Mytilus edulis: one gene and its partner. The protein of the gene in region 2 interacts with the protein of the main gene of each other region in a pairwise test. Links are inferred from orthologs where the notes say so. Each region holds a gene or a part of one and is shown on either strand. Other genes may lie near its edges.

Region 1 (10,233 bases), on a different chromosome or scaffold from region 2:
ATTGTAACAATGATTAACCAGCTTAAACAATCTCGTGTATGTATCCAAAATTGTTAATCATTTTTCGAATTAGCTCAAGCCTCTAGCGATTTTTATTTTATAATGATCACTGATGATTTTTCTTCCTTTCTTTGTTGTTTTGTTTCTTCATGGCCTACCACACAGACCATTTAAGAAAAAAAGATTAAAAGATTTGTTTTCGAATGGATGCAGAACACCTATATTTTGTTTACTTTTAGAAAATGTAAAACAAGAATTAAGATAAAACTTGTCCTGAATAAAATTGAGAAAGGTAATGCAGAATCTGTCAAAAAGACAACATCCTGACCAAAGAACCGAATTTTAGGTTTATTATAGTTTTTGTGCCGTATGAGCAGAGTTAATTCCATCCCCTTTCCACTTAGAAGATGAGTGGCCGGGATCTCTAAAACCGATTTTGGCAATTTTTGTAGGAGATTTAAGTAAACTTTTAAAGCATTTATAAAACAAGTTAAACATTGATTTACTGCTTACTGATGATACCCCCGTCGAAATATTTCGGTAAACAGGAAGTTGTTGAGTGATGAATCTGAAAACGCATCGCACGATATAACTGAATTATATAAACCCTGAAACCAAATTTCAGAAATCCTTGTAATGTAGTTCCTAAAAGATATGCGACGAATATATTCATGGGACGAACGGACGGACTGACGGATTGATTGACTAACGGACAGACAGAGGTTAAACAGTATACCCACACTTTTTTTTAAAGTGAGTGACATAATTATGAACTGATATGTGTTTCATACTAACAGTTTTAAACGCATTGCAAATTTTTATACCCCACCTACGATAGTAGAGGGCATTATGTTTTCTGATCTGTGGGTCCGTTCGTTCGTTCGTCCGTTCGTTCGTCCCAGTTCAGGTTAAAGTTTTTGGTCAAGGTAGATTTTGATGAATTTGAAGTCCAATCAACTTGAAACTTAGTACACATGTTCCTTAAAGCGTGGCAAAATAAAAGACGAAAAATTTCAGACAGACTTTCTTCTCTTTCGTACTTAATTTCTTGTAAGCAAACTCTCTCGTGTGATTAACCATGCAAGATTTTCCGCATTTGGCATGCATAATGTTGCGCCAAATATTAAATTATTTTCTTAGGTTCTTCATACAATAACTTCCCGTATTAAAAGTATAAAAGAAATCCAGCTGCGGAAAAAAACTTTTAGAAAATATTTAAGTGGTTTTTTTTTTACACAACATTGGTATTGTTTATATATTGTAGAAGGTTAATACGTGTATCATCACATATCGTGGTACTATGTATTAATGAGACATGGTGATGTGTGGGATTTTATTATATTGTTTATAAATCATTCCTCTCAAGACAATAAGAATATACAGCGTATGCCAAAACAAGCATTTGAAAAGTTTGAATAGAAATTTATCACAAGATTAAATTTTAAATCGTAAATACGGCATTATTTTACAGAAGCATTTATATGTAATATAAGAATATACTATTCAGTTCGCATGGATAACGCTATGATGTTTAGAAAAAATATTTCAATTTCAACGTGCAATTTATCGGTTTGTTCTACGTTACATTTTAGCGTTGACTACCGATAACGACGTCAAATGCGATAAGGGTGGTTTTTGCTTGACGGGCGTCATATATATATGAAGAAAAAAAAAGAAATGATGTTGCCTTAATCACAGGGTTAAAAGAGTCAAATTCAACTTGGTTTTGTTTAAGAAGCTTTCTGAATTTTAACATATCATTTGATATACATCTTAGGGATTCTGGTCGCACTGATTGTCAATAATCATTGACTGAGATTGTATGTGTAGTACCATGAAATTCAAAATCTCGTGCAGTAATACTTGGCAACGAATTAAAATATGAATGGACTTTTTATTTTGTGGTCAAGACAAGTCCATTCCCTTGCGATGAAAGCCTAATACCAAATATGTAAAAAGACAAATATATGCTTCGGTTACATCAACACTGCTTTGTTTATAATTCAAAATTTGAAAAAACAAAAGACTTCCTCTAATCCTTATGTTTTTACACACATGAGTGATTCTGTACTGGAATCATTGTAACTTTTAAGTACAAAATCAATAACTTCAAGTGAAAATCCTTTCTGTATATTTATTGATCAGAAGTCAGAATGAACTTTTGAGTATCATGATTTATATCTGCTGAATATACAATACTGACTCTTGAGAAATCTGGTTATCATGATTTTACCAAGATCTATATGTCAAGGCTGAGTTACATTACCCTTGGTGGTATGGAAGAAGGCCTAATAAGTCAAAGAACAGTCAGAACTATGTCTTGATAACAGGATGAGCTTATGACAGACTGTGGAGGTGCAATAAGACAATGAATTAGTCTGAACTATGTCAAAACACAGGATGAGCTTATAAGGGTCAGAGAGAAGGTGCAATAAGTCAAAGAACAGGCTGAACTATGTCTTTATTACAGGATGGACTTATGATGGTCTGGGAGGAAGTGAAATAAGACTATGAATTAGTCTGAACTATTTCACAATAACAGAATGGACTTGTATGCTACAAAATTTTCAATTCAATCAAACTAGAGGCTCTTGAAAGAGCATGTGTTGCTCACCTTTTTTGTTTGTTTTGTCTATCACTTCTATAAAGAGTGACTGTCTATTAGCTATATTATTAGAAATTGACTTCATTGTAGAACTTGCCTTGTTGATCATTGTAATTTTAAAGTTTACATGTACTGATATAAGGCAAAAAAACCCAAAAAAGTAACAGTTGTCATCAAAGGGCAATAACTCTACAAACTCTAATAAGGAGTTGATCGACGATGAAAACTCACACCATTTCTGCCCTTGTCAGATTTTATCTATTTATAACAGTTTCCAAAATAATTGACAAAACTTGCATTTCACCCCTTTGTTCTATTATATAGCCATGTTGGCCATTTTGATTTGCAAATGGGGTCATTGGACCCATTTTGTAAGCTAGATCCCCATAATGATGATTGTGGCCAAGTTTTGATTTTTGGTCCAATAATTTTAAAGAAGAAGATTTTTGTAAAAGTTAATGGTGTATGGCTGAAAATAAGAGACGATGGACGCCAATAGATGAGAAAAGCTCACTTGGCCTTATGGTCAGGTAAGCTAAAATTCAGAGATCTGTTACGGTGACAGTGTTACCTTCATCAATTAAAACTATAACCCAAGTATACAGAAAAGAATCCTTTAAACACTTGTCTTAAAGAAATATTTTAAGAGTTGCTGGACTACTTCACAGTGCAGGAATAAAATACTTGTAAATTAACTATATTGAATCAAAAGTTCATTTATTTTCAGGGTACTAATTTTTCGTGGATGAAGGAAAACTTCCATGTTCATGTATATCTAATTTTGTGGTTTTGGCAAAGTCTTCATACACGCCATTATAAAATTTGTCATTCGTTGATTATTTAATTTCTTGTTTCACCTAAATCCACAAAATCCACAAAATTTTGTATCCACTGAATAATAATGAATCCACAGGGTCTAAAGGAGTAAAATATCAGAGAAACCTACTAGTGTTTGAAGTCAATCATTAAGCACATGTTATCACACACACTTACATGCTTCTTGATGTGAACTCAAGAGGCAAGAGCTAGGTTGTTTATTTCTAATTAAGGCATTTTAAAAAGCATTGGATGAAGGTCAAAGCGACTATAATTTGCTGAAACTGAAACTGCATCCCTATACACCAAGTAAAAAAGTATAGTTTGATTTTGTTTTGTATGCCCAGGGATCTCCATGGATGAAAATTGAACGATGGAGGAACTTTCACCATTACAAACTGTGTCTACGCTGTACAGTGTAGCGCGATCGGAAGTATTTTATCCCTCCATACAAGGAATGGTGAACATGCTAATTCATTGCTTATTTAAATTATATTTATTTGAATTTTCATTATAGAATTAGAAGCATCAATATTTTCATTTATTGCCGTTTTTAACCATTCAAATGCCAAGTCTTCATGGTCCTCCCTTAGTCGAAAATGACCAAAAGCTGTCATGAAGGTACCCATGTAGATTTCTTGTATTTTTGGTAATTGTTATGGGGGTTAAAAATCATATGATGTGGAGCTTATTTTTCATGGACACTGTCAAATTCAGAACCCATTACCGGTATGGCTGATTTCCAGCTACAACAAAACGATGAAGTTTTGAACGATGGCGGAAGACAATTTAACGATGGCGCAAGTCATTTGACGATGGCGTAAGTCATTTGACAATGGCGCAAGTCATATGACGATGGCGCAAGACATTTGAACGATGGTGGGGCGCCATCATTAAACAGGCCATTGAGATCCCTGATGCCATATATGGTCTAAAACCAATTAGAATATAAATCAGAGAACATTACAACATGATACATGCCTCAATAGTAACCTACCTCATACTTTGTTCCATTATAATTTCAGTATCTATCTCACTTAATGAATTATACACCATTTTGACAAACTGACAATATCTCATACATGTACATAGAAGTACAGATGCTGCATTAATGCAAATGAATATCCAGCATATTTTGACTTGTGACATTCCTATTTCATTAATTTTTCACAACTTATTTGATTTTCATAGTTCATAATTTATCATGAAATCAATGGAAAATGTCAACATAATTTTGTTTGTTGGTTTATTGATTTGTGTTGTCTGCTTATGTAGTGTCCAGTGTCAAATATTTCATGACTTTTCATCCATGTTTGTTGGGACTTAACTTAACAAATTAATGTGTAGGAATTGAATAATAATATGATTTTTTTTATATATACATGTATGTGTTGACTTTATTAGTTACTTATATTAACTATTGTGCAGCCAACCAAACTCTTGTGAATGCAAAAAAAAACGGCTCTCAGAAAAAAGTGATGATGGCACAGACCATGAAACAAATACCAAATTGTTGGGAATGATATAAGACATAGTAGTAATTCTTAAGTGATGATTGTAGTAATCCTGGTGTGTTGACAGCTACTAGTAGTTCTTATAAGTTGACAGCTACTAGTAATCCTTGTGTGTTGATAGCTACTAGTAATCTGTATGAATTGACTGCTACTAGTAATCCTTATGTGTTGACAGCTACTAGTAATCCTGATGTCTTGACAGCTCCTACTAACAAGTATTCCTGATGTGTTGACAGCTCCTACTAACAAGTATTCCTGATGTGTTGACAGCTACTAGTAATCCTGATGTGTTGACAGCTACTAGTAATCATGCTGTGTTGACAGCTACTAGTAATCCTGTAGTGTTGACAGCTACTCGTAATCCGTTTGAATTGATTGCTACTAGTAATCCTGGTGTGTTGACAGCTACTAGTAGTCCTAATAAGTTGACAGCTACTAGTAATCCTGATAAGTTGACAGCTACTAGTAACCCTGATGAGTTGACAGCTACTAGTAATCCTGATGTGTTGACAGCTACTAGTAATCCTGCTGTGTTGACAGGTTCTAGTAATCCCTATGTGTTGACAGCTACCAGTAATCCTGATGTGTTGACAGCTACTAGTAATCCTGTAGTGTTGACAGCTACTCGTAATGCGTTTGAATTGACTGCTACTAGTAATCCTGGTGTGTTGACAGCTACTAGTAGTTCTTATAAGTTGAGAGCTACTAGTAGTTCTTATAAGTTGACAGCTACTAGTAATCCTGATAAGTTGACAGCTTCTAGTAACCCTGATGAGTTGACAGCTACTAGTAATCCTTGTGTGTTGATAGCTACTAGTAATCTGTATGAATTGACTGCTACTAGTAATCCTGGTGTGTTGACAGCTACTAGTAGTCCTAATAAGTTGACAGCTACTAGTCATCCTGATAAGTTGACAGCTACTAGTAACCCTGATGAGTTGACAGCTACTAGTAATCCTGGTGTGTTGATAGCTACTAGTAATCCGTATGAATTGACTGCTACTAGTAATCCTGGTGTATTGCCAGCTACTTGTAATCCTGGTGTATTGACGGCTACTAGTAATTCTGATGAGTTGACAGCTACTAGTAATTCTGGTGTGTTGACAGCTACTAGTAATACTGATGCATTGACAGCTACTAGTAATCCTGATGAGTTGACAGCTACTAGTAATCCTGATGATTTGACAACTACCAGAAATCCTGATGAGTTGACAGCTACTAGAAATTCTAATGAGTTGACAGCTACCAGTAATCCTGATTTGTTGACAGCTACTAGCAATCTGAATGAATTGACTGCTACTAGTAATTCTGATGAGTTGACAGCTACTAGTAATCCTGATGTGTTGACATCTACTAGTAATCCTGATGTGTTGACAGCTGCTAGTAATACTAGTGTGTTGACAGCTACCAGTAATCCTGATATGTTGACAGCTACTCATAACCCTGATGTGTTGACAGCTACTAGTTATCCTGATGAGTTGACAGCTACTAGTAATCCTAATGTGATGACAGCTACTAGTAATCATTATGAGTTGACAGCTACTAATAATTCTTGTGGTGACTTCTACTGAACAAACATGATTTTGTTAATAGCTAATAGTAATCTTTATTAGTTGACAGCTACTAGTTATCCTAATGTGTTGACAGCTACTAGTTATCCTAATGTGTTGACAGCTACTAGTTATCCTAATGTGTTGACAGCTACTAGTTATCCTAATGTGTTGACAGCTACTAGTAATTATTATTTGTCAATTTGTGTACAGCTACATGTACTAGCAATCAATATGTGCTACATGTAACTGCTACTAGTCCATAAGCCTGGGGTAATCAAGTTTATCTTAGGCATTCTACAGAGTAGTATCCATTCAAATTAAAAAAAAACATTACTAACAAAATGAAAAAATGTAATTGTATTTTAAAATTGATTAGACTTAATTAAATATTGAGCAATTTCAAAGTATAAGTATATATTTTCAATAGAGAAAGAGCTATAAATTAAGAAGGTACGTCTATCTCTGTCACTACCTCTCTAATGTCTGTAATTATATAAGGGAAGTGTTTAAAAATTTGTCTGAAGTTTAAATCTAATAACTATCCACACTGTACCATGCTACTATCTACATCATTTGGTCTCTGGTGGATAGATGTCTACTTATTTTTTTTTTATTTCAACACTGGTTATCTTGACTTTCTATTAAAGTACAAACCATCACAGCTTGTATCTGCAAGACTATTATAATTATTGTGTGGAATAATCAAGCTTGAAATGATTGTCAACTTTATTTAATATCTAAGATTTGACTTTGGTTTTCAGTATACAGTAAATTGTATCTTTGTCCAAATAATTCAATAAAGATATGAATTTTTATTTGTAGATCTGGCTATAGACAGTTCTGTTTGTTCAACACTACAAACAAACCTAAAATATAAACCTATGGTTGTGGTGGCTAATATGTTCATCTATATATATATATATGACACAGATATTTAATAATGGTCCATGGGGGGGTCCAACTATATGTTCCCATTTAAATGCATTGATAGTCCAAAAAAAGGACCCCAGAACCATCCCCCTGGATCTGCCACTGTTGTCAGCAAATGCACAATTTGTAACAAGTAATTACACAGCTGTAAACAATTACAAAGAAATGATTTAGTTCATAAAAAAACTATATCATTTTCCCTATTTAACCATTTTTAATTAATTGTTTGATCCAAGTTGGGTTTCCACTTGTCCATTGGTTTCTGATAAGGTTTCTGATAAGTTTATTTACCCTTTCTATAAGGTCAATGGCAGCTCAGTAAGATGACACATGCTACATGATGGTAATGGGATCTAATAGCCAGGCAGTATTATTAGCTTAAGTCTTGTAGTAATGCTTATCCCAATTTGTCTTAGAAATAGCAGTTCTTTGCCATTTAGCACATGTCAAAGATTTAATGTTTTACTTTAATTGAATAATGAATTTTAATCACCTGCGTATATTGTTGATATTTTTAGATTGTTACAATAACTACCTTCCTGACATGCTTTTCATGTAAACACCAATGTGCGAATGTATCCTCAAGGTTTCAACAAAAGGATATAAGTCTAGATCTGTTGTACAGTTAATAGACTACGGTATTTACCCTTTTTCCGAAGAAACAAAATCAAATACGAACATGAAACAATTCATTCTAATATTTTTATTAATATGTATGTACTTTTAAATATAGTTTGGGTTAAATGTGTAACCACTCTCATGAGGTTGTAAGAATTTTTAAAGCATAAGGATGTACAAATGTTCAACAATTTTGTTCCTGATCTTAAATGTACATCTGTTGTTGAGAAGACATCTATAGATTTGTCTGTATCATCAATAATCAGTGAAGTAATAGACAACTTTCACTCTTGATTATACTCACACAACTTGTCATTACCTTTATTAGATAACTCTGATGGTGTTTCCTCAAGTACAGTAAATGGCGGAAAATTGATTCCATTTCCTAGTGAGACACCAAGAGAATTCAAATGTTTCATCGTTTAGCTTCAAAAGATGCACTAATAAATTCTACCAATATACTGTAATACCATTTCTATCATACATTTTGAAATGCATAAAAATCTGTTGTTGTTGTATACAAATGTTGGAGAAAGATATGCATATTTTAAAAATATGTATATGTACTCATGTAACATGAGATCTTCCTTAATTTAGTCTTATTACTGTGCCTAACCGATCACCTTTGGGGTATTATAATACCTACAGTGTTACCTGGATAAAAAATTGTCAACACAATTTGTCCATTTAAACTGTACAATAGGTTTTGTGAGAGATTATCAATAGGTGGTCATTTAACTACCTGAAAAAAAAATTTAGGGCAAAAAACAACCAGGTAAAATCTACAGGTAGTTAAATGACCACCTATTGATAATCTCTCACAAAACCTATTGTACAGTTTAAATGGACAAATTGTGTTGACAATTTTTTTATCCAGGTAACACTGTAGGTATTATAATACCCCAAAGGTGATCGGTTAGGCACAGTAAATACTTATGCATGTATGTATTTGAAGATGTCACTCTTTATTCCACTTACATGTAGCATAAATAAAGTTTACATTTTCTTGAAGATAGAAACACTTCAACGACAATTTAACCGAAATACAATAAATGTTGGTGTCTCGCGATTTAAGGAGATAACGTATAATTGACAATAAGACAACTTTCCACCACACACCACAGAAAAAGTCACAGTATGGCCTTCAACAATGAGCAAATTACATTCCATCATAATGAATATGCAGACTAATTTTAATATGATGGGACCATGACAACCTCATGGGTAAATGATCTTGAACCAAAATATATTCTGATTCAAGATGCATGGACACTCCCATAAACAGAGGTCAAAACATATGACACCCTCTACTGTCATGACATGGACAGGGCATTGAAGTTAAGTTAACCTATTTAAGTAGCAATGGTGAACCAGATGCTCTGCAGGGCGCAGCTTTATACGACCGCGGAGATTGAACCCTGAACAGTTGGGGCAAGTATGGACACAACATTCAAGCTGGATTCAGCTCTACATTTGGATTGTGATTAAATAGTTGACACAGCTTAGGTTTCTGACACAGAATGAATGTGGTCTAATGAACTTAAAATATTTTTTTTGCCTTTGAGCAATTCAATATATGCTGTTGAATATTAATCCTCTCAAAAAAAAATTCTTTTTATTTATGAAATCTGAAATGAGAAAAATTTAACCCCCCCCCCCCCCATTTTTTTTCACATCCCCCTTTCCCTTTTTCCAAAACTTATCTCAATTCAAATTTTTAATGGAGTTTGCAACAATAACTACTCATTTAAATACATCATAAAATATTAAAATGTAAAATAAAGTGCTTGTTATCACTGAATGGTAAAGATTGTTTTAATTTATCAGTTGGTAGTAAAAGTGAATATACATTGTATATTGTATAAAACAATGCTTTAAGTTGATTCAACTACTATTCTGGACAAAGAAAGATAACTCCAATTGAAAATTTCTTGCTATTGCACAATATTGTGCAATTAGATATTTCTTGCTATAGCACATTACTGTGTAATTGAAAATATTTGCTATTGCACAATACTGTGCAATTGAAAATGTCTTGCTATTGCACAATACTGTGCAATTGAAAATTTCTTGCTATTGCACAATACTTAATATAATTTTGGATCCTGATTTGAACCAACTTGAAAACTGGGCCAATAATCAAAAATCTAAGTACATGTTTAGATTCAGCATGTCAAAAGAGCCCAAGAATTCAATT
Region 2 (9,909 bases):
TAAAGTTTTTACCTGTTTGGCCTCGAAGTTTCAGAAAACAAAAAAATTTAACATATTAGATTGTAAACAAAAAATAAGTCCTCAGTTTTATTTGTATTTTTCAAGCAAGACAGACTATAAGGGTTCTTTCTTCTATTTAACTTTTAAAAGTATCAATTTATCACATTAAGTTAAGTAGCTTTTATAAATATAAAGATATTTTCATGATAAAAACTAAGCACAAACATGACAAAGGAAACAACGATTCAAGTTATTTTTAAATCAGGTTTCATATGATTCAGATTGCCATATGGCCTTCAACAATGAACAAAGCCCATACTGCATAGCCAGCTAGTATTGCCCTGAAAGCACAAGTGTAAACATTTCAAACAAGAAAACTAACGGCATAATTATAGCCTTTAGAGCCTAACAATCGATGAAAACTATTGATTTTTATGTGAGTTGCAGGGTTGACAGATTAATGTCTCGATAATAAAAACTTTCATTCTAAACCAATTTTTTTTCTTCCTATCTTTTACCTGAACATTTTTTCTGAAGATTTTCTATTTCCTTGTGTAAGCCTTTTAATGTTTCTGCATGTTCTTGTTGCATAAACAGGATGGCACTATCTAAATTTCTTTTGTGTATTGCAGCTTCAGACGTCATGGTGATTGGTGTTAATGCAAGCAGGTAAACTGTTCAAACTGAAATGACATTAATTGATTAAATTATGTATACAAAATGTCTATATCTAAGTTTCATTTTTCTTGATTTAGCTGGTTTAAGATTTTTGAACACACATGACATTTATGTATATACAGTCGACTCTCGTTATCTCGAAGTCAGCCGGACCAGAGAAATATTTCGAGATACACATAGTTTGACTCAAACGAAAAACGAAAGTTTGACAGAACAAGGGACACAACTCTCAATAAATCTGGGTGAATATGGGAAGGGGATCGATATTCGGGTATCAGATCGATGTAATTACAGTATTTGTATGTCATGGTCTTTCATTATTATAATAACATTACTTTTACCTATTCAATTGTTTCAGTTACAATTTTTTCCTATGGCTTTTATCTGAGAGAGTAATTTCAATCGATAGTTTCGTTATTCAGGTTGTTTATAGTTGACACAACTGTTTATTCTTGGATACGAGAGATTTTAGAAAATTTTGATTTTTCTTCATTTTGTTTTATCTCACTCTTTCTTTTCAAAAGAAAATACAACAAGATTAAAGATGCTGATTGAGTATTTTTGAGGTGATCATCAACGGAAGTCATAATCCTTACCTTATACGTGACACAAGCTCATTAGTGTAAATCACAATTAATTGTTTTGTTAACATTTTAATACGTTTTCATGAACATTAACAATGTATCACTAATTATTAATAAAAATTCTATAAAAGATAATCTTATGTAAACACTCGTGGAAATACAAAATGTAGCATGTCATACATCAATATAGTGGTCAGTGACTGGAAATTTAATTACAATTACACGTGTATTGTCAGATTAACTCTTCAATCCATTTAAATGCTGGAGGTCATGTTTTGACATATGTGTATTAGTTCGAGATAAATAATGAATTCCAAATGCTTTTCTTAACCTAGGGATTGTAAATTTAGGTGGACTCAACTGAAATTTTGAGGAGTCAAATTCCATACATTTATATGTAACAAAGTGTGAGACCACCTGAAAACTTCGACGCATCTAAAATTTTGAGTCAACCGAGTTCGAGACGAGAGTTAACTGTATTTATATATTGGCGAGGGAAGAACAAAAAATTTGCGAAAGCAAATTTACAGATCTAACATTGTTGGGTTGATGTTTAGACGAGTTGTATATACATAATGTACACAGCCATGTATCACCATCACTGTTGGTGATCCGATAGATAAATCTGTTGTAGAGTTGTCACGGGCTTAGACGTACTTATATATATATATATATACAACTCATCTAAACATCAACCCAACAATGTTCGATCTGTAAATTTGCTTTCGCAAATGTTTTGTTCTTCCCTTGCCGGGATTCGAACCCATGCTACTGAGATATTGTGACACCAAATTGCCTGCACGGTAGTCTTCCCTCTAGACCACACAACCACCTGGGCTTCATAAAAATAAAGCTTTCGTTGGCCAGGTGTTACCTTTCCAAGTCAGTTTTAATCTAGCGTCGTACTATATATATAGCTACACAGTACATGATATATAAGGCATGGAGATGTAGTTTTTTACAGATCAGCTAAATTATCTATAGTAAAGGATCCTACAAATTAATGTTAGATACAGTCACAGAAAATAATTATATTTATAAGTACGTCTGAGCCAGTGACAACTCTACAACAGATTTACCCATCGGATGTATTAGAATAAAAATCAAGTTTATTTTCCTAGCAGCTAGACAAATAGAAAATACATTGTAGCTGTCTTATTCTTGCTTATTATTTTCTAGAACTTGACACCAATATGTATGCTTTGCATGATGTGCTTACTATTTTATGTCTTGTGCTTATCATATATATGTCAGTGTTCTCCCATGGCTGTTTTAGCACAGCGATTTTTAGCACTAATTTTTGGTAAGGCAGCAATTCTACAGTAATGAATTTTACCTTTTGAAAACAATTGAGAGGATATGATTAGAAAAACAAACCCCAAGCTGAAACGACTTGAGAAATTCTCGATGTCCAGCTTGGATGAACTTGAAGCCATTTGAATATTATATAACGTTAAGGTCAGAAAAATGACAAATCATTATGCTAAAAAATGTCAATTCCTGTCAAACGTTGTAAGGTTAACAGTACACTGCTATAATGGGTTACAAAACCATACACAGAAGATGACAATGACTTTATTGTTGGTCCTACATGTTCTGAAACATCACCTGTTAGTGATAAGAAATCTTCACATAGACAGTCTGGTATAGACCCATCATAGAAAAGACTTCTCCTTGGGTTTTTAACACAGATAATATGAGGAATTTACATAAAGAGAAAAAAAAGATATTTCTTCTACATGTATCATGTCTATATCCAGACAATAACATTAGCAAACAAAGGGGTAACTTCCATGAGCATGATGAGGACATCATTACAAGAGACAACATCAATAGCATTATATAAGAAAAACACAAATCAATTACAAACCAACCGCGCGCCGCGACAAAGTAACTGAGAATTGTTGAAAATCACATGCTTACCACAGTGCTATCCAAAAATCCTGGGGAGAACACGTACATTGTATGTACACATGTATGTCGAATAAAACCTCTACAGAGCTTATGTTATATTTTTGTATGTATACCCCACTTTAAATCAAACTTTTATGCTTATGCTTTGAGTATTTTTTAAATTTTGACTCAATGACTTTGAGATGATGAACAGCAATGAACATAATCATGATAATGAAAGGGCTGTTCCTTTGCTTTTTTGTGTGTTTTTACTGTGCATGTACTACTGATTTTGAGTCACGAATGGATACTCTATTATCCTTTTGTACTTTTGTTTTTCTATTAACCTGAAGATGGTTTTACACTAAATGATACTAGGTAAATCAACTTAATTGGTCTTTAAATTAAGTATTTATTATTAATATTATGCTGTCATTGAACAATTGTATCTTATTGTGATGTGTAATAACATAAGTAATCTACATGATATAATGCGACCTAGACAATCTATTCAAATAGCATGATTAGAAAAAATTGTCATGTCATTGACAGTATCTCACAGCAGTCAATAGTTTTACAATATAGGATAGTGAAATCTGACCTTGTCACACATGTTCCGTTTTGAATCCGGGTCTGTTCGCGCCCAATCACATTCGCACCCATTAACGTTCGCGCCCTTTCACTTTCGCACCCAAAGTCTGTTCACACCCTACACGTTCGCGCACAATTTTCATTGGTATTATTTGTATAATTTGGAATCAAGTTTTGGTAAGCATGGTAAGTGTATTGCTATATATAAATATTTGTTTTCATTGTTTCTACATATAGTTAGATTCTGACAACGTTTTCTTAAAGTGTTGAATAAATCTTAATGATGTTTAGGCAAATGTACTGCTCTATATAAATATATTTTTTCATTTGTTTCTAAATTAAGTGAGATGCTGACGTTTTTTTATGTGTTGATAAAATCTAAATCAGGTTTTGGTTAGTGTATTGCTATAAATATTTTTTTTTACATGAGTTCAAAGCAGCCAAGCTGTTAAAAACAATTATCTTTCGAGTTTTTGATTCAAAATCTTCAAAGTTTTACTCATACCAAGCTAAATACATGCAGTATTTACATCCAAGCAATTTGCAAGTTAAAACAACAATCATGATTTTTAAGCACTCAACAATAACACCAAATTTAGCTGTGTATAATTTACCAATTAGCAGTAATCATACATAACTAACATTTAATAATTAATCATAAAATTAATAAAAAAAGTTATATTTATTATATAAATATATAATTCCTCAAATTTTATTCAAGAAAATAGAATTATTTGGTATAAATTGGGCGCGAACGTACTTCGGGGGCAAACATGTGAGGCGCGAAAGTATATTTTGCGCGAACAGACCTGATACCGTTTTGTCAGACTCGAAGATGTCTGATGCCACAAAGGTATATAGGTAATTCTTGTATGACCTAAAAAACCTGGGATCACAGATTCTCATGTCAAGCGTTGCAGACTTCCAAATAACAATAAGGTTTATATAAAATATTTCATAAGACAAAGGGGACATTATTTTTCCTTTCAAATGGCAATGCCAATCACTGATCTGGGGCACAAATTATTCAAGTCAATAGAACATATGTTCAGGACCGGCTTCGAATTTTAACAAAAACAATGCCATTCAGATATGTAGCCTTTCCTCACAACGTTATAAACGGGCGACATATTTTGACAAAGAGCAAATTTTAGAACGATTAAAATGAACAAGGTCCGTCTGAGAACATAATTTCACATTCGTAATAAAAATCGGTTATGCCATGTGTTATTTAAGAGGAGGGAGATTTTACGATCAATTACTTTACATTCACGTCGATAGCATGTTCACCAATGCTTGTATGCTGTGAGTAAGCTTTAATTGGTTGTTTACTGTCGCAGCAACATTTTCAGTCCAGATGGTTTTCCTTCGCTACAAGAATGCCGCTGAATTGTGGGTAAAATGACACCGGATGTCATTAATTAGTTTAACAAAATATATAGTTGAGATAATCTACAGCTGAATGCAAGCATATTAATTTTAAATTCAAAGAAAACCTATATAGAAGAAGAAAAATAAGATAAAAATAGTTCTCATAGTAACGAGATGTAAACAAAACGCCTTTCGGGATAATTTATGCTTTTGAAAAGTCCAGAGGTATATCGAACAATCATGAAGATGTCACAGAGCTCAACCAACGTGATTGTTTGGGAGTGGATGAATGAATTTGGACGGTGGAGACCGTATGAACCTAACGTTACACAATACATAGAAAATGCCTATCAAAATAATTCCAATCAAGTAAACCTGAGTGCAGCCGACAGCTCCTTATCTTCATACGCCATCGATTTTGTCACCACTTGCCAGATACGACTTGGAACAGGTGTATAACCGTTTATTTTTTTTCCAGATACACAATAGCATGGGTTCAAAGCGGGACCTGTCAGAGTTAAATTAAACATGAATAAATACATACTTTGCCTTTGACACTATTCTTGCCCTGGTATCTAGAATAAAGAGAAATGAAACAGGAAAATTTTATGTTTCAGAAACCAAAACTGAAAAGCCTGACCATAGAGCCGTTTGAGAGGTTTCGATGTTCGGGCTACATGTCGTTTCAGCCATACATCACTGCGGCAATGTTTACTTTGGTCATTTAGGTTACATTATGGTTTTATTCCTAATGTCTGTGCATATATACTTTTCAATGTTTTTATTAACATATGATACAAATGTAGGTATGGGATTTTGTTAGTCGGTTTGTCTGATATCAGAGGAAAAATGGTTGGACATGTAACCTGGTAACAGCCATATTAAGCTTGTTTGACGGGACAAGTTCAATCATTCTGTAGAAAATAAATTAAATCCATCTTTGATTATATCAAAGAAATAATCAATTATTAATTCTAATATTATAACCTATTATCGTCAACCAGTATAATCACAATATACATGTATCCACCTTTAGCGCAAACGCAGTACTTCATAAAAACGACTGTTCTGCATTAGGACCAACTTATGCATACTGCCAGATATTCTCAATTATACCTAGGCCATGGTTTCAGATACAATATATTTATCTCTTTTTTTCTACAGCAAAATGAACAAATCCATTTCAATTCATTTTTCATGACCCAGTAGAATTTCATAAAATGAAAATTCCACGAACATGACCAAAGGATGCTATTGTCTTGGCATGGCAATGAAACAAGGTGACGTCACAAGTATGTTTCTGAAAACAAAAAATATTTTTGGGACAAGTTACATCATTGTACATTGTATAATTCCATTTTGACAAATAAGTTTTTGGTACATGTTGGACAAGTTGAAAAAAAGTTATTGTAGATCAAGAGGCCTGACAATGTTATAAAAGATATATATATAACATTTGTATAAATGAAAGTATATACATTGTACATGTATATCAAAGTGTCTATAAATATGAAATAAAACCTATGGCTGAAACCTCTTTTATTACGTGGCCAAAGGGGTACCCAGACAAAACTCCAAGGCCTAATCAACCAAGGACAATCCAACTCGCCAAAACTTCTTTACCCCCTTAGAGCATAAAAACAGCCCAGGCTTAAAGGGAAACTTCGCCAAAAAATCAAAAATTGATATTATGTTTATTCTGTATAAAAATGCTCAAATTCATAGATATTAAAGTTTTATTCTGCTAGATAAGAGATCACCATCGATTTTAAATTTAGAGTATCAATTCTCTGCTGTCACCCATTATGTCACCTTCTCCGATTTGCAGTCACGATATGTCTAAGGACCAAAACTACAGTAACCCGATGTAGTTGTAATTGAGTGTCGATATCTTGTCAATTGTACGGTTGTTTTATCCGACTAGTTAACTAGTTAACTTACTTGATACGGAAAATTTTCTTCTTTTCTTTTTAAATAACCATGATCTGTTATTTTTAGACTGATAATATAGGAATTTAATAGTGAAAAAGTCAAAATTTCAAATCATAAATAAGTCTTCCGTGAAACTTGAATTGTTTTCGGAAATCTAATTAGTTCATAATTCTTTTATGTAATAAACTTTATTCAAATAAATTAGGATCTTCGCTCCACTGATCACCCGCATGGCTAAAGGTATTACTCCCAAAGATATTGTAGGGGGTGTGAGATGACACGTCCAGGTATTCAAGCGATTTCCTGTCGAGTTTGCAAATTCATGCATTGTTTCACTTCTTAGTGTATTGATAAGTGTACACGCCCGATAACTTATAACTTTCCATTTTGAACTATTAGGTGTATAATATGGGCAGGAATTCGCTAGTGAAATTTTAGGGTCAATAGTGTTTATCCAATTAAAAAATAAAGAAATCATGCAAATATGGAGAATAAACATTGTTTAAATATCAAAGTGGGTTAGTCTTTATTGCCACATGCAAAAAAAATGGATCCAATTAAAAAAAATCAACAAAAAATCAGCACTTGTTGTGTGCTGGCAGTTGAAAACTGTAGACAAAAAGTGTGACATTTCTGCAGTGGCAAAACCCCTAGTCATATTTAGAATATGCCTGAAGAATTGTTCTACTATAATAGTTGAAAATCAACTGCAAAATGATCGGTCTATCATTTAGAAACCCCATTTTGTACAGAATCCGATTATTGCTGCAAATAAAATACGTTTGAAAATGGACAAGTGCATGTAACTTTTCCCGTCAACAAATGTTACATGCACCTTTTCATTAGCTGATTAGCTTTGGAAACAAGTTATTGGTCCAGCATGGCAAATTTTGAAAGGTGTCAACAATGGTTACAATTTGGATTTCATGATTTTTATCAATCAACTGAAGTTTGAAAAATATAGAAGGTAAGAAAATTTATTTCATTTTCGTGTCAATACTGCCCAATAATACTCATCTTTTTATAACAGTTGTATACTTTTTATAGTAAGCATTACCATAATTATTTTTTTCACATTTCAACCCACTGACAATTACATTAAAATGTGGCTTTGTCATCTTTCACACTTGGCATCTACCAGTGAGCAAGCAGATGATAAGAGAGTGGGACCAGGTTAATTTGACCTCACAATGAAGTGTTACATGCACTTTTTGTGTAAATTAGGTTCTTTGATAATGATGTGTGACTTGCTTTGCAATTTTGTCAAAAAATATAAGTTTATCTTGTATTTAAACAGGTTTGACCCTTACGATATTCATTTTATTGCTGGAGAGATTTCTGTACATAACATTGACACGAAAATATTTACCAAGGAAAGGTGTCTATGATACATGCAAAAGCTTTTTTTTGTACGGTTTGCCTTATCAATCTAATTTTTTACATGAAATACCACAGATTAATTGCCAATTTGATTAACTAGTACTTGTATTCATTCTCAGCATTATAAAGATAACTGGCCACTTAATTTGAAAACATAAAATGTAACATTGACACCAGAATAAAAACAATATTACTTTATTACACTTAAAGCATAATTGGCCAGTGCATAATATTAAATCAAATGTAAATTTATGCTGTATTCTTAACAGAGAAGTTGTTGATCTTTCTTAATTTCTAGACTTTACAATATTTACTTTTAATTCTTATCGTTTAAAGACATGTAACATTGACACATCTTCTGCGTCCAGGTTACATGCTACAACCTAATAAATGTGCATACAATTATTCAATCAATAAAATCTTGTTGAAATTTAAATTTGCTTCATTAAAATGATATTAAAGAAATAAATGAGTTTTAATTATTTGTGTTTATTTTTTTCCTGATTGACTAGCAATTTTTCCTCATCATTTGTTGGTGTTCCTGTCAATGTTACATACATAACCCTGTCCCAGAATTATAATGTTTTAAAAGCATTGATTTCCAAACCTCTGTTATGAGCTTTAAAATGAGGATATCTGAGTTTATAAATGACTAACATCTGAAATATTGTCATCACACAATTTCTTTGATGCTCCTATGATAACTTTATGAGTAACATGGACTACAATTTTTGCATCAGGTCTTTTTTGTGTTATATGAGAAGATTTTACTGTGTTGAAATCAACAGTTAATCTAATTTTTAATATTCAAAGTTAATATTATGATACTTATTTTAAAAAATAATGTATAAAGGAAACCCAAATTAAACTTTTTTTTCATTAAGAAATTGTGTATGTAACATTGACAGAGTCTATTATTTAGACTTTTACATGTTCAGGCCAGTGTTACATGCGTAAACAAAACTTACTGCCATATGGAGCTATTATCTTATTTTTATTTTACAAAATTAAAGCGTTTTCATGTTTTCCTGTTTAATTTGTCTTTTAACACTAGTTAGTAACATTGACAACAATATTTTGTGTCAAGATTTTTTTATGTTACATGCAAATGTATTACTTCCTTAAAGTCAGACATTTATATAACATTTTATAACCTAAATGATTAATTAGATATTACTGGGCAGCAATTATATTATTTCTCCAAAGTTGACTATTAAGCACACCACTTTCATCTTCTGGTCTTCATGTATGTAACATTGACATACAACCTTTTACTTTCTGTCAATGTTACACGCATGAACAGAACTGATAACATTTACTAACTCCTTTGCTCTATAAAGAGTTTATTGATAATTTAACTTGTTTTACCACCATCAAACTTCATCTTTATTTCTAAATATAGATATTCTTTTTAGAAGTGTATTTTCTTCATTGACAACAAAATTGGTGTCAGTCTTGAAAATTTACATGCAATTTTTAA

Evidence for each region.
Region 1: the proteins of E3 ubiquitin-protein ligase DTX4-like (region 2) and beta-arrestin-1-like interact in a two-hybrid assay, tested with the Drosophila melanogaster proteins (2 studies listed by BioGRID). The link is inferred for Mytilus edulis from reciprocal best matches to the Drosophila melanogaster genes dx and krz.

The regions. Positions count from the first base shown.
Region 1 is NC_092346.1:87,674,940-87,685,172, forward strand, and holds the start of beta-arrestin-1-like, read right to left. Parts: upstream 4,493-10,233; 5' UTR 4,478-4,492; coding exon 4,419-4,477; intron 1-4,418. Other genes in the region: serine-rich adhesin for platelets-like, read left to right, coding at 4,973-4,990, 5,172-6,506.
Region 2 is NC_092349.1:2,897,163-2,907,071, forward strand, and holds the start of E3 ubiquitin-protein ligase DTX4-like, read left to right. Parts: upstream 1-5,315; 5' UTR 5,316-5,321; coding exon 5,322-5,568; intron 5,569-9,909. Other genes in the region: coiled-coil domain-containing protein 92-like, read right to left, coding at 519-645.